Callithrix jacchus: one gene and its partners. The protein of the gene in region 3 purifies or fractionates together with the protein of the main gene of each other region. This does not show direct contact. Links are inferred from orthologs where the notes say so. Each region holds a gene or a part of one and is shown on either strand. Other genes may lie near its edges. The genes, in order: RAD1, RAD9A and HUS1B.

Region 1 (4,183 bases), on a different chromosome or scaffold from region 3:
TTAAGAAAAAATATGTTTAAAAAAATCATTTGGCAAAATAGACATAACTTATAAAATATGGCTTGAAAGAAACAAATTTTGAACACAGTACAAACTAGGAGTCAGTAGAACCGGCTTCTGTTTTTCCCTGCCACTAACTAGCTGAGTAATTCTGGACAAGTTAGGGAAAAGAAGCAATTACGTTTCACAATGTTAAAGATATTTAAGACATGCCCAAAGCATTCTTTTGGCCAGTTCAGATTTAAATTCCCTCAAAGCCTTGTAAATTAAAAAAAGACAAATGTTAATACTTTTACAAAGGAAAGAACTATAAACACACTTGCAATTAACATTGGGAAAAGTTAGAACCCATGACTGTGGCCAATGAAAAATGAATTGGCAATAACTTTCTGAACAAATGTTTATATTCCAAATAAATTCCTGAATTTTTCTGTCCATTGTATATAACACTTTTATGTCCTTCTACTGATAATAGTTTACCTGGCATAGGACTTGATCCAAAAATAGATAAACAGTCTAAAAGGACAGTTAAATTAATTCGAAACGTAACAGATTCTTCCTGAACTTTAAACTCCTGAAATATTCCAGCCTATGAAAAAAGTAAAAATGAAAATGGTTACACAAAAGAATGAAAACTAATACATAAGGTCCTAGATTTCACTTTATATGTTTAAAAAATACAATACTGTGCTAATCCCACGAGAATAATTTCTCATTAGCAATCAAAACATCCTAGAGACATCCTTGTGAAGCATCCTTATCTCCATTCCTGGATCTAAAACTATCCCTCTGTGACTACCCCTTGTCTCATTTTTGTGCCTATCACTACTGCTTAGGTCACTTGGAAAATACACAAACGACTTGGTAACGCATGAACAATATTAGTTTCAACTTTTTTTTTTTTGAGACAGAGTTTTGCTCGTTACCCAGGCTGGAGTGCAATGGCGCCATCTCGCCTCACCACAACCTCCGCCTCCTGGGTTCAGGCAATTCTCCTGCCTCAGCCTCCTGAGTAGCTGGGATTACAGGCACGCGCCACCGTGCCCAGCTAATTTTTTGTATTTTTAGTAGAGACGGGGTTTCACCATGTTGACCAGGATAGTCTCGATCTCTTGACCTTGTGATCCACCCGCCTCGGCCTCCCAAAGTGCTGGGATTACAGGCGTGAGCCACCGTGTCCGGCCTAGTTTCAACTTTTATTATTATTTTTTATTGATATGGGGGTCTCACTATGGTTGACCAGGCTGGAGCAATCTTCCCATCTCTGCCTCAGCCTTCTGAGCAGCTGGGAATACAGGTGTGAACCACTATACCATGTCCTGCATGAGGGCAAGAACCATGTCTTATTTACCTTTCTATCCCTGACGTCATGCTGTGCACTTAGGTGTTAAAAAACGCTTAGTTGAATTTGCAATCCTATCTTAACCATACAAATATTACTCTGGAAGAATAAAAATTCTACTACAACCAGTAAAGGAAAAAATACTCTTTAGTAATAGCAAGGTGGTAGTATCGCAGTGGTAAAGAGCATATATTCTGGAAACAAATGTTCAGGGTTCTTATCCCAATTCAGCCACTTAACAGCTGTGGGGCTGCTGGCAAATCACTTAAATTGTGCCTCGTTTCTACATATACAAAATGGAAATAATAACAGAACCTACCTTACAGGACTACTGTTAAGATTAAGTAAGTTAAATACTAAGAGGAGTGCCTAGCTAATAGTCTAGCTTTTTAGTCATTACTAACCATTATCTCTGTAAAACAAGATGGGAAAAAAAATTTGTTACCAGGAGAGAAAAAAAAACTCAAGTAAAGGCGTTTTGTTCTCTGACTTAAGACTATACAGCTATTTATTCATATACTATTTATTCAGGACTATTGACTATAAAGTCATTTATTGTCTACTAAAACCTTCAGATTTCATTAAACTGCATTTAGAATATCTATGGCACAGGCTTAAAGGCACATATTTCCATACCTGAATAAAAGCATTTGCCTGCACACACTTTGCATTTTCCACAGTTACTTTGATTCCATTTTTAGTTGCAAAACATGTGGCATGTTCTCGGAAATGAATAGCTTTCAAGATAGTGGAGAGATTCCTAACGTTGTCAAGGCTGGCCACGAGGCTGTACTGATCATCATCGTCTTGGATCTGTTGGGTCAGAAGGGGCATTGTCCGCTGCACATTCGGCCCCGAGGGATGCTTCTGGGGCCAACACCTGCTCCCGCGGATCGCGAAATACCTGAAGGGATTGGACAATAAAACTCCCATCAGTGCTGGCGAGGTCTGGCGAGCTCCACCTGCGCTGAGAAATGGAAGGGGATTGGGCAGCTGAACTTGGCTGACCAGGCCGAACCCCACCGATGCCACTTAACTGTCTTTGTAACTCTGGGAGAAAATTTTCTAAGCTACGGTTTCCTCATCTCCGTAAGGGGACAATAACGTGAAAAGTTGTGAAGAATGAAGACACGCAACTGACACGGTATCTCCGCTTGGGGCCAGCTTATCCCGGCCAAACAGGAGCTACGAATCCCTACGGAGTCGGTTTTGTGTCGCCCGCGCCGCAAGCCTCGCCTCCAACGCAACAGGCGATGGGGGGGGGGGGGGCGGGCTCGGAGTGCCCAGAAGATCCCCCAAGGGTCCCAGACAAGCCCATTCACCAGCTCGCCCGCTGGACAGCATCACTTACTACTCTCAGTCCTCGAGTGCTGACACCCTACCTTTGCAGTGGGGTCTGGACGCCCGAGAGCCCTTCCCGGCAAAGTCCCTGAGGAGTAGCAAGGCGGCTCCGAAAAACCGCGGAAGAAGGGAAGCGGGTCCCGACACTTTTCAGCTCGGCCCTCCACCTCGGCCACCGTCACCATGGAGCGGAACGAATCCTAGAGAGCCAAGCGTGCAGCGCCTCCAAGACCGGAAGCAGGCAGGCACCACCGAGCTGGAGGACGACCGCTGAACCGAGCGCTTAGAGCCGCCGAACCATAGAGATCGGAAAAGGGTGCGAGCGGCAACACCGGAAAGAAGGCCAAAGAGCGCAGGCGGCGAGACAAGATGGCGGCAACCAAGAGGAAACGGCGTGGAGGCTTGGCAGTTCAGGCGAAGAAACCGAAAAGAAACGAGAAAGATGCCGAACCGCCAGCTAAGCCTCGAGCTACTGCAGAGGAGGTGGAGGAAGAAGAGAGAAACCGGATCCCAGGCCCCGTTTGCAAGGTAGAAGGGTTACACCAACAGCCGCGGCTCTGTGCGCCTTTTCTTGGGGGTTCTGACTACAGCTCTACTAATTTTAGAATAGCTCGGGTGTTGACCGTAGGTCGGTTTTAGCAGTTCTCCCGGCCATACTGGACACGGAGTTTATAGCTAATTCTTGTGCACTTGGCCGCCCTCCTGGGGGCAGCGGGTTTTAGAACCTTTAGCCGGCCCACGGGGAAGCGACTGACAGGGTGCTCAGATCCAGCGTTGTCTTCCTAGTTGTTCAATTATTTTTGGAGGGTGGTGCTTTTCCTTGGTTATTTCTCGCTTTTGAGTATTTCTTCCAGTGATTAGTATTCCTATATACGGCCGAAGTCAGCTGCTGTCAGGCAGGGATCCTGAAGCTTGTTAGGTGAGCCTTTAAAAAGTTGTTGGCCTTGGGACTGTGAGTTGTTAACTAGGTCTTTAACTCAAGGGATAATGAAAGATAGTCCAGATACTTTGAGCTTTACCTGTATTGAACAGACATTGAATGTGCCACGCATTGTTCCAAGTTAAGCTTCCTTTGGCAAAGATTGCAAAGGTGACTAGAATGTGACCTCTTCCTCCTGAAATGTTGGAGTTCAGGAGGAAACTTAAGTCAGAGAAGTTGGTGGTTTTTATTCGAAAGAAGTGCACGCAAGTTGTTTCAGTTAACTTTCATTCAACTAAGAACTATTCTTAAGCTACACAGTATACTGTGGAGACAAGGATTATCTTTGACATTAATTTCTCTGTCCTCTGCACTTAGCATAGTACACTCTAGTACGGAGTAGGTGATAAGTAAATGACTCCATGTGGTGTGATGGTGAGTGAGCTCTGAGGAATGATAAGTGTGGGGGCCGGGCGCGGTGGCTCACGCCTGTAATCCCAGCACTTTGGGAGGCCGAGGCGGGTGGATCACGAGGTCAAGTGATCGAGACCATCCTGGTCAACATGGTGAAACCCCGTCTC
Region 2 (3,601 bases), on a different chromosome or scaffold from region 3:
AGGGAAGTGTGAGTGGAGGGAAGCTGGCCTCCTGCGAGCGCCTGGGGGGAACTCGGGGGAAGGCCCGGGTGTGCGACCCCTCCATGCTGCCGCAGCGCCGAGGCCGACTCTGAAAGCTTCATGGGGAAGGGGGGTTTCAACAGGTGGTGGCGGAGCGGGAGGACGACAGGGCAAGTGTGGGCAGAGGCAGCCAGAGGGCTGGGTCTGTGGCTGCCCCCTGACCACGTCCCTCTCCCTGCTCTTCGTGGCGCAGCTCTCCCTCCGGACGGTGAACTCCTCCCGCTCTGCCTATGCCTGCTTCCTCTTTGCCCCACTCTTCTTCCAGCAGTACCAGGCCACCACCCCCGGTCAGGACCTGCTGCGCTGTAAGATCCTGATGAAGGTGAGGCCCTTCCCTCAGCAGTGGCACTGCCCCACCCCGGGAATCTCCACCAGCTGTGCTTCTCCGCTGGGGTACTCAGTAGATGCTAAGTGGGGAGAGAGAGACACGTGCAAGCCCAATCCATGCAAATCAGAGGGAGAGGCATGGTAAAAGCATCACAGTGGGGACCTGAGAGGGTGGTGACGCTCAAGTTCGTTAAGAAAGGTAAGCAGGTCGGCCTGGCGCGGTGGGTCACGCCTGTAATCCCAGCACTTTGGGAGGCCGAGGCAGGTGGTTCAGGAGATCGAGACTATCCTGGCCAACGTGGTGAAACCCTGTTTCTACAAAAATACAAAAATTTAGCTGGGCGTAGCGCGCACCTATAATCCCAGCTTCTCGGGAGGCTGAACCAGGAGAATTGCTTGAACCCAGGAGACGGAGGTTGCAGTGAGCCGAGATCACTCCATTGCAGTCCAGCCTAGCAACAGAGGGAGACTCCGTCTCAAAAAAAAAAAAAAAAAAAAAAAAAAGGCAAACAGGTCTTTCAGGGCATTCCAGGCATAGGGAAGAGCATGACTGAGGCCTAGAAGGGTGCCAGGGTCTCGCATGGTGTGGGAGCCCTTTCCCCAGTTTCATGCTGGGCCCATGATGGGCAAGGGCCTGCGTGGGACAGGAAAGCTGGTCGCAGAGATACGGTGCCAGGCTGAGGTGTCTTACCCTATGCAGTCCTTCCTGTCTGTCTTCCGCTCACTGGTGATGCTGGAGAAGACAGTGGAAAAATGCTGCATCTCCCTGAACGGCCAGAGCAGCCGCCTGGTGGTCCAGCTGCACTGCAAGTTCGGTGAGTGGGCAGTCGGCCGGCCAAGGGATGCCTCAGCCAGGAGGTTGGCGAGGCCCACTGAGACCCTGTCGCCCATCCAGGGGTGCGGAAGACTCACAACTTGTCCTTCCAGGATTGCGAGTCCCTGCAGGCCGTCTTCGACCCAGCCTTGTGCCCTCATGTGCTCCGCGCCCCAGCACGGTGAGCACAGCCTGCCCTCAGCTCCGCCCCAGGTCTGTCTCTTCCTTCTTTGGGGCCCCAAAGGTTGATTTCAGAAGGTGCCTCCTTCATTTTCCCTACAGAGTTTCTGTGAGCCTCAAAGACGTCCCACGGCCCTCTGCGCTCAGGTCCTTACCTGGCTCTTTAAAGGCTGAGGGCAACTGAAGGTTTGCCCCTGACCCCTTCTCTGGCCTGGGCATCCTTCTGGAGGTATTCCCCATTCAAGGGCAGCCTCTCTCCCTGACTGCCTAGGATCTAGCTTTGAGGAGTCCCCAAGGTCAGGGCAGGAGGCCGCCTGAACAATCGGCTGTGGGGTAGAGCGGTTCTGGGCAGTCCAAGCACTGGGGGCTCTCGGGGGCCAGGGAAACAGGAACTCAAGTGGAAGCAAAGGTCCCCGGAGAGGACCAGGTTGGAGAGGAGTGGGCTCTCCCCCTGCCTCACACTGGACACTGCTTGCATTCAAGTGGCCCAAGGTCCTGTTCATTTTTCAGGGTGACTGAAGGTCCCTTTGGGTCCTGACATGTTTCCCCAGGTTCTCTTGAGCCATCACTGCTCAGAGCTCTTTTGGGTAGTGAGAGAGGGATTTTTTTTTTTTTTTTAAATGAACAGTTGTCTTGTTTGGAGATGGAGTCTTGCTCTGTCGCCTGGGCTAGAGTATAGTGGTGTGATCTTGGCTCACTGCAACCTCTGCCTCCTGCCTCAGCCCCCCGAGTAACAGGGATTACAGGCGTGCACCACCATGCCCGGCTATTTCTTTTTTTTTTTTGGAGACTGAGTTTCACTCTTGCTCCCCAGACTGGAGGACAGTGGCAAGATCTTGGCTCACTGTAAACTCTGCCTCCCAGGTTCAAGTGATTCTCCTGTCAGCCTCCGGAGTAGCTGGGACTACAGGTGCCCACCACCACACCTGGCTAATTTTTCTAGTTTTAGTAGAAATAGGGTTTCACCACGTTGGCCACACTGGCCTTGAACCCCTGACCTCAGGTGAGCCGCCTGCCTTGGCCTCTCGAAGTGCTGGGATTACAGGCATGAACCACCATGACCGGCCCAGTTTTTGTATTTTTAGTAGAGAAGTTTTACCACGTTGGCCAAGCTGGTCTCGAACTCCTGACCTCAAGTGATCTACGGTTGGGGTCTCCCCAAATGCTGGGATTACAGGTGTGAGCCACCGTGCCTGGCCACTCTGTTTTTCTTTTTTTTCAATCCTCGTGAAGGGGCCTTGGGAATCTTTGCATCCTCCCAGTTTTAGCGTATGTGCTGCGGAAGTGAGTACTCTGTCTCATGAATAGTTTCAAGTATATGTAAAAGCAGAGCAGCTCCTGTCCCCACTGGACTTGAAGCAGATTCCAGATGTGATCCATCTGTAGAGCGGTGGGTATACTTAGAGGGTAAGCATTTCAGGCCTCTTTCTGAAGGCCAGCTTGGTAGGGCAGCGTGAGTGCCGAGTCCTGCCTCTGTGCCCTCTCCCTGCCGCCTTCTCTGGGCCTCATCCATGCGCTAGGCCTGTGCCCATCCATGTGGGTGCCTGTGTCACCCCTGCCTCAGGTGACAGGGCCAAGTATTTAGGGTGATGCTCTGCCCTGTTCACAGAGTCCTGGGGGAGGCTGTCCTGCCCTTTCCTCCTGCGCTGGCTGAAGTGACGCTGGGCATTGGCCGTGGCTGCAGGGTGATCCTGCGCAGCTACCATGAGGAGGACGCAGGTGAGGGAGCTGGACGTGGCGTGGGACAGAGCAGAGCTGCGGGTGGGAGAGAGGCGGGGCCCAGGTTCCTCCTGTTCTTCCCCAACAGATAGCACTGTCAGAGCCATGGTGACTGAGGTGTGCCTTGGGGAGGAGGACTTCCAGCAGCTGCAGGCCCAGGAGGGGGCGGCCATCACCTTCTGCCTCAAGGAATTCCGGGTGAGGATCCCCCCACGAATTCGCCTTGGGTCCTCCCTTCCTCGCCCAGCCCAGCCCAGGGCCTCACCTGCTACCTCTTCCCTCCCAGGGGCTCCTGAGTTTTGCAGAGTCAGCAAACTTGAATCTTTGCATTCACTTTGATGCTCCGGGCAGGTAATTTCCAGCCTCAGGACAGGGAAGGGCACTGGGATGCCAGGAGCTGAATGGGATGACCTAGCTTGGGGCTCCCCTCCCCGGCCCAGGCCTGCCATCTTCACCGTCAAGGACTCTTTGCTGGACGGCCACTTTGTCTTGGCCACACTC
Region 3 (4,115 bases):
AAAAGGAGAGACTTAAGGAATTGCTATAATCTTTTCAAAAAACAGAGAGTTGCTTCTTATAGATGAGCAAAGAACATGATTTTTTTGAGATAGAATCTACTCCTGGTGAAGATGTTGTGAATATTGCTGAAATAACAACAAAAGATTTAGTACCGTATATAAACTTGGTTGATAAACCAGTGGCAGGGTTTGAGAGGACTGACTATTTTGAAAGAAGTTCTGCTGTGGATAAAATACCCAAAGCACCCCATGCGACAGAGAAATCTTTCATGAAAGTCAATTGATCCAGCAAGTTCACTATCTTATTTTAAGAAATTGTCACAGCTACCCTAGTCTTCAATAACCACCACTGGAATTGGTCAGCAGCTATCAAGAGGGAGGTCACCAGCAAAAAGATTATGACTTGCTGAGGGCTCAGATGATGAGTAGCATTTTTTACCAAACAAGTATTTTAAAATTAAGATGTGTACATTTTTTAGATATAGTACTATTGTACACTCAACAGAGTACAGTACAGTGCACATATAACTTTTATATATACTGAAAATCCAAAAAACTCATCTGACTTTATTGTAATATTTGCTTTACCTCAGTGGTCTGGAACCAAACTTGGAATATCTCTGAGATATGCCTACATATCCTTGATTCCTAATGTGAATATGATACATGTGAAAAATGAACCTAGTAAATTAGCAATTCAAACTATGTAGATAATAAATCTAAAAACCAGGTATATTGATATAGTCTTTGATATATCCTATGACAAAACGCAGCTTAACAAACAATATGTAATGCACACAAATGTTAAATACCTTATATCTTGCAGCTATATTTAGCTCTCTACATAAGAAAAGCCCTAGGAACACGTTTATACATACTTTAAAAGGAGAACGGTTCCGCTTTACACAATAGCATTTTATAATAAAAATACTGATGCAACTGTTTCAGTATTCAAATATATTTATTTCATTATATAACCCTCTTCCTCCTCCCCCAACAAAGAGTTGAAGAATAATTTTCTTGTTAGAATCTTAAGCATGAAAAAAACTGACAAAGTCAAAAAACAAAAAGGTAAACTACCCAACTGTTTTATCAATGCTTTAATATAAATTTTGCAAAGGAGGAAGAGCTCAACAAAATATACGCCTAGCATTAAGTCAGAGAAGGTACAAACTTCCAAACCAATTAACTCAGGGTCTGTTTCGGTTTTGAAAAGTTCTTAAGATTAAAAAAAAAAAACCTAAGTTGGCTGTATTTTTACAAGGCAGGAATGAAATACTGAAGAGAGACATCTTCTTGAACCAAAACAAGATGAAGAAGAGTATTGTCCCAAATATTGCATAAAGCCGTCATAGGATTTATTTGCTGTCCCTCCAAAAACTGCAGAAGCTTCCGATTATCTACCCGCACTTGCACCATGCTCTCCAGGTCTCTGTTTTGAGGCACATCAACAGCCGACTTTGGAGGGTTTCCAAGATTTTTAAAATAACTTTTAATTGACACCACCTCCGTCTCTATACTCAGGGTCATCCTGCCACTGAGGTTTGCTTCCAGCAGCACGTGACTGCCCACGTTCACCAGCCTCTCCACGATGCTCCTCAGCGTCCTCCAGCGCGGCAGGTAGATGCTCACGTCCGAGGGGCGCAGGCTGGGCAGCAGGCAGTCTCGCCACACTCTTCTGGGAAGCACCCGCACGGGCAGATCGTGCATCACGCTGCGAACACGGCCCAGGGGTGAGGCCAGCTCCACCATCACCGTGAGGCAGGGACAGCGCTTGTTGGTGAGCTGCAGCTTCAGTGAGGATGCACCCACCGCGCTTCTCGCCGCCCTGGACAGGTGCTCCGCCGTCAGCTCCAGATGAATCTCATTCAGCCCTTCCGAGACACCTTCCATGAGAAACTGCTGGAAGGCCCGCTGCTGCACCTCGCACCACAGCCTGGCTTCCTGAAGGCCGCCTGAGCCCACAGAGCCGAAACACAACCCGTTGGGGCACACGCGGAGCATGCAGACCTTCACCAGCCTCGCCACTGTGCTGCTGACTTGGATGAACAGGTCTAGAGAGTCCTTGCCTGTGATCTTGGCGCGAAACTTCATGATATCGGCAAAGGCAACGCTGGGCCCTCTGAGGAGGATGCCACACGTCACGCTCCCTTCCGGTCCACTTTGGTCCGCGGCGCTGCCCTCCCTCTGGCCCCCAGCAGGGCAGGCACTCAGGTTCCGGGTTCTGTTCTGGATTCCACAGCCCTAGGCCTGGGGCCACAGAAGGGCGTCCCCACGCCCTTTCTTACCTTCCCTCGAGCCCTCACACAAAATTCCCTGTTTCAATTCTGGTTATTAAAAGAGTAGGCATTCCACTGCAGAAACTTCTTAGTATTCTAAACACTAATGAAGACAAAATCATCACTCAGATAACCACTTTTAATATACACTGATACCATCTTCATCTATAAGCATATATGAAGATACAGTGCCACATGTCTTATGAAATTATAGCATACTAGGCACATATTTTACAACCTCACCTTCACACATAAAATATGTAACAGGCATCTTTCCATGTTGGTGAGACATACTTACATCATTTTCATGGCTGATCGGTTTTCCAATGTATAGAGTTATAACACAAATGACAATTTAGATGATTTCCCATTTTTTGCTATTATGAACAAAATGAACATTTTTGGACAAAATAGTTTTGCCTATTTACCCAATAATTTTCTTGCATTAAATTCGGAGGTGAAGTGCTGGTCAATGAATGCACATTTAAAATCCGAATATTCTCAAACTGGCCTGAAGAAAGCTGCATGAACACTCCAGACCACAAGCAACATTGAGTATTAGCAATCTGTTTTATCTGTAGCACTCTACCAGGCAAAAAAAAAAAAAAAAAAAAAAGATGTCAACTTGCACTATGTGTGAATTCCATTTTATGCCCCTTGCATCTTTTTATTGTTTATTTTGTTTTTATTTTAAGATCTCTAGCAAGAACATCAACCCTCTGTCCATTACATGTACTGTAAATATCTTCCTCAGTTTATCATGTGACTTTTCACAGTGTTTTTGGTGCTCTTTGCCCTTGGAAAATATTGAATCTTTTTATGTCAAACCTATTGACTTTTTCTCTGCTACTTCTAGGGTCATGCTTTCAAAGTCCTGTTTCTGGTACTTTAAATGTTATCTGTTTTTATAACTTAGTTGTTTGACTCAGTTGAAATCTTTTTTGGAGTACTGAATACCCAGCTGATACACACAATTCACGAAATTCACTTTTCCACTAATCTGAAATGTCAATTTTATTTTAGACAAAAATTCTCATTTTTCTCCTGAATGTTTCCTGACCCTCTCTATATTTTCTCCCACTGCCCTATCTTGCACCTGTACCAGTGATTTAATTTCTATATTATATTTCAATATTGAATAGGACAATCTATCAGAACTTCTCTCATTCTCTCACAGATACTGCTCCAGATGAACTTTAAAATATTTTGTCAGAGTCTAAAAATAATCTTCCTGGAATTTTGATGGGAATTGTCACCACCCTCACATATTACATACTTACACTTCTCTGTTTACGGTCTAGCTCTAACCATAATAATGTAAGTTAGAGGAAAGGAGTTCTTACCTGTTCCATACACCGCTGTACACCCAACATTTAGAACAGTATCCGGCATGCAACTGGTTTTCAACACATTTGTTAAATGAATGTATGAAATGTATCAACTGCAAGATTATTTCAGGATATTTAAAATATCTATAACATTAAATCCTCTCACTTATTCAAACCATTTTTTTATGACTGTCAATAAATTATCCAGTTCTGTTCTTGGGGAGTTCACATAATATACAATATCTTGAAATCAGTCAAGTTACTGAATCTCTCTCCTGAAATTCTTTTTCAATTGATCTTTTATGTTTCTTATGTAGAAAATCTTACTATCTTCATGTACTGTAATTATGGCTCTTACTCTTCAAGGTTTATGCCATTTATTTAACTGGCATTGCGTTTGCTGTAATTTTCAAAACACTGCTGAGTAACAGTGGTATTAGCAAGCATCTTTGTCTTATCTGTAACTAAAAAGGAACCCTCTAGAGCAGTGTTTCCCAAATTGTTTGTT

The links.
Region 1: the proteins of HUS1B (region 3) and RAD1 purify together in Homo sapiens (co-immunoprecipitation; 3 studies listed by BioGRID and IntAct, counting the BioPlex papers as one, with this or other methods). This does not show direct contact. The link is inferred for Callithrix jacchus from reciprocal best matches to the Homo sapiens genes HUS1B and RAD1.
Region 2: the proteins of HUS1B (region 3) and RAD9A purify together in Homo sapiens (co-immunoprecipitation; 3 studies listed by BioGRID and IntAct, counting the BioPlex papers as one, with this or other methods). This does not show direct contact. The link is inferred for Callithrix jacchus from reciprocal best matches to the Homo sapiens genes HUS1B and RAD9A.

Annotation. Positions count from the first base shown.
Region 1 is NC_133503.1:170,711,475-170,715,657, reverse strand, and holds the start of RAD1 (cell cycle checkpoint protein RAD1), read right to left. Parts: upstream 2,886-4,183; 5' UTR 2,725-2,885; intron 2,591-2,724; exon of another isoform or gene 2,380-2,590; intron 2,247-2,379; 5' UTR 2,177-2,246; coding exon 1,979-2,176; intron 590-1,978; coding exon 481-589; intron 1-480. Other genes in the region: BRIX1 (ribosome biogenesis protein BRX1 homolog), read left to right, coding at 3,053-3,211. UniProt on the Homo sapiens protein: Component of the 9-1-1 cell-cycle checkpoint response complex that plays a major role in DNA repair. The 9-1-1 complex is recruited to DNA lesion upon damage by the RAD17-replication factor C (RFC) clamp loader complex.
Region 2 is NC_133511.1:124,471,339-124,474,939, forward strand, and holds part of RAD9A (cell cycle checkpoint control protein RAD9A), read left to right. Parts: intron 1-253; coding exon 254-382; intron 383-1,087; coding exon 1,088-1,202; intron 1,203-1,282; coding exon 1,283-1,382; intron 1,383-2,990; coding exon 2,991-3,100; intron 3,101-3,188; coding exon 3,189-3,298; intron 3,299-3,386; coding exon of another isoform or gene 3,387-3,451; coding exon 3,452-3,601. UniProt on the Homo sapiens protein: Component of the 9-1-1 cell-cycle checkpoint response complex that plays a major role in DNA repair. The 9-1-1 complex is recruited to DNA lesion upon damage by the RAD17-replication factor C (RFC) clamp loader complex.
Region 3 is NC_133505.1:31,058,786-31,062,900, reverse strand, and holds HUS1B (checkpoint protein HUS1B), read right to left. Parts: upstream 2,895-4,115; 5' UTR 2,095-2,894; coding exon 1,258-2,094; 3' UTR 179-1,257; downstream 1-178.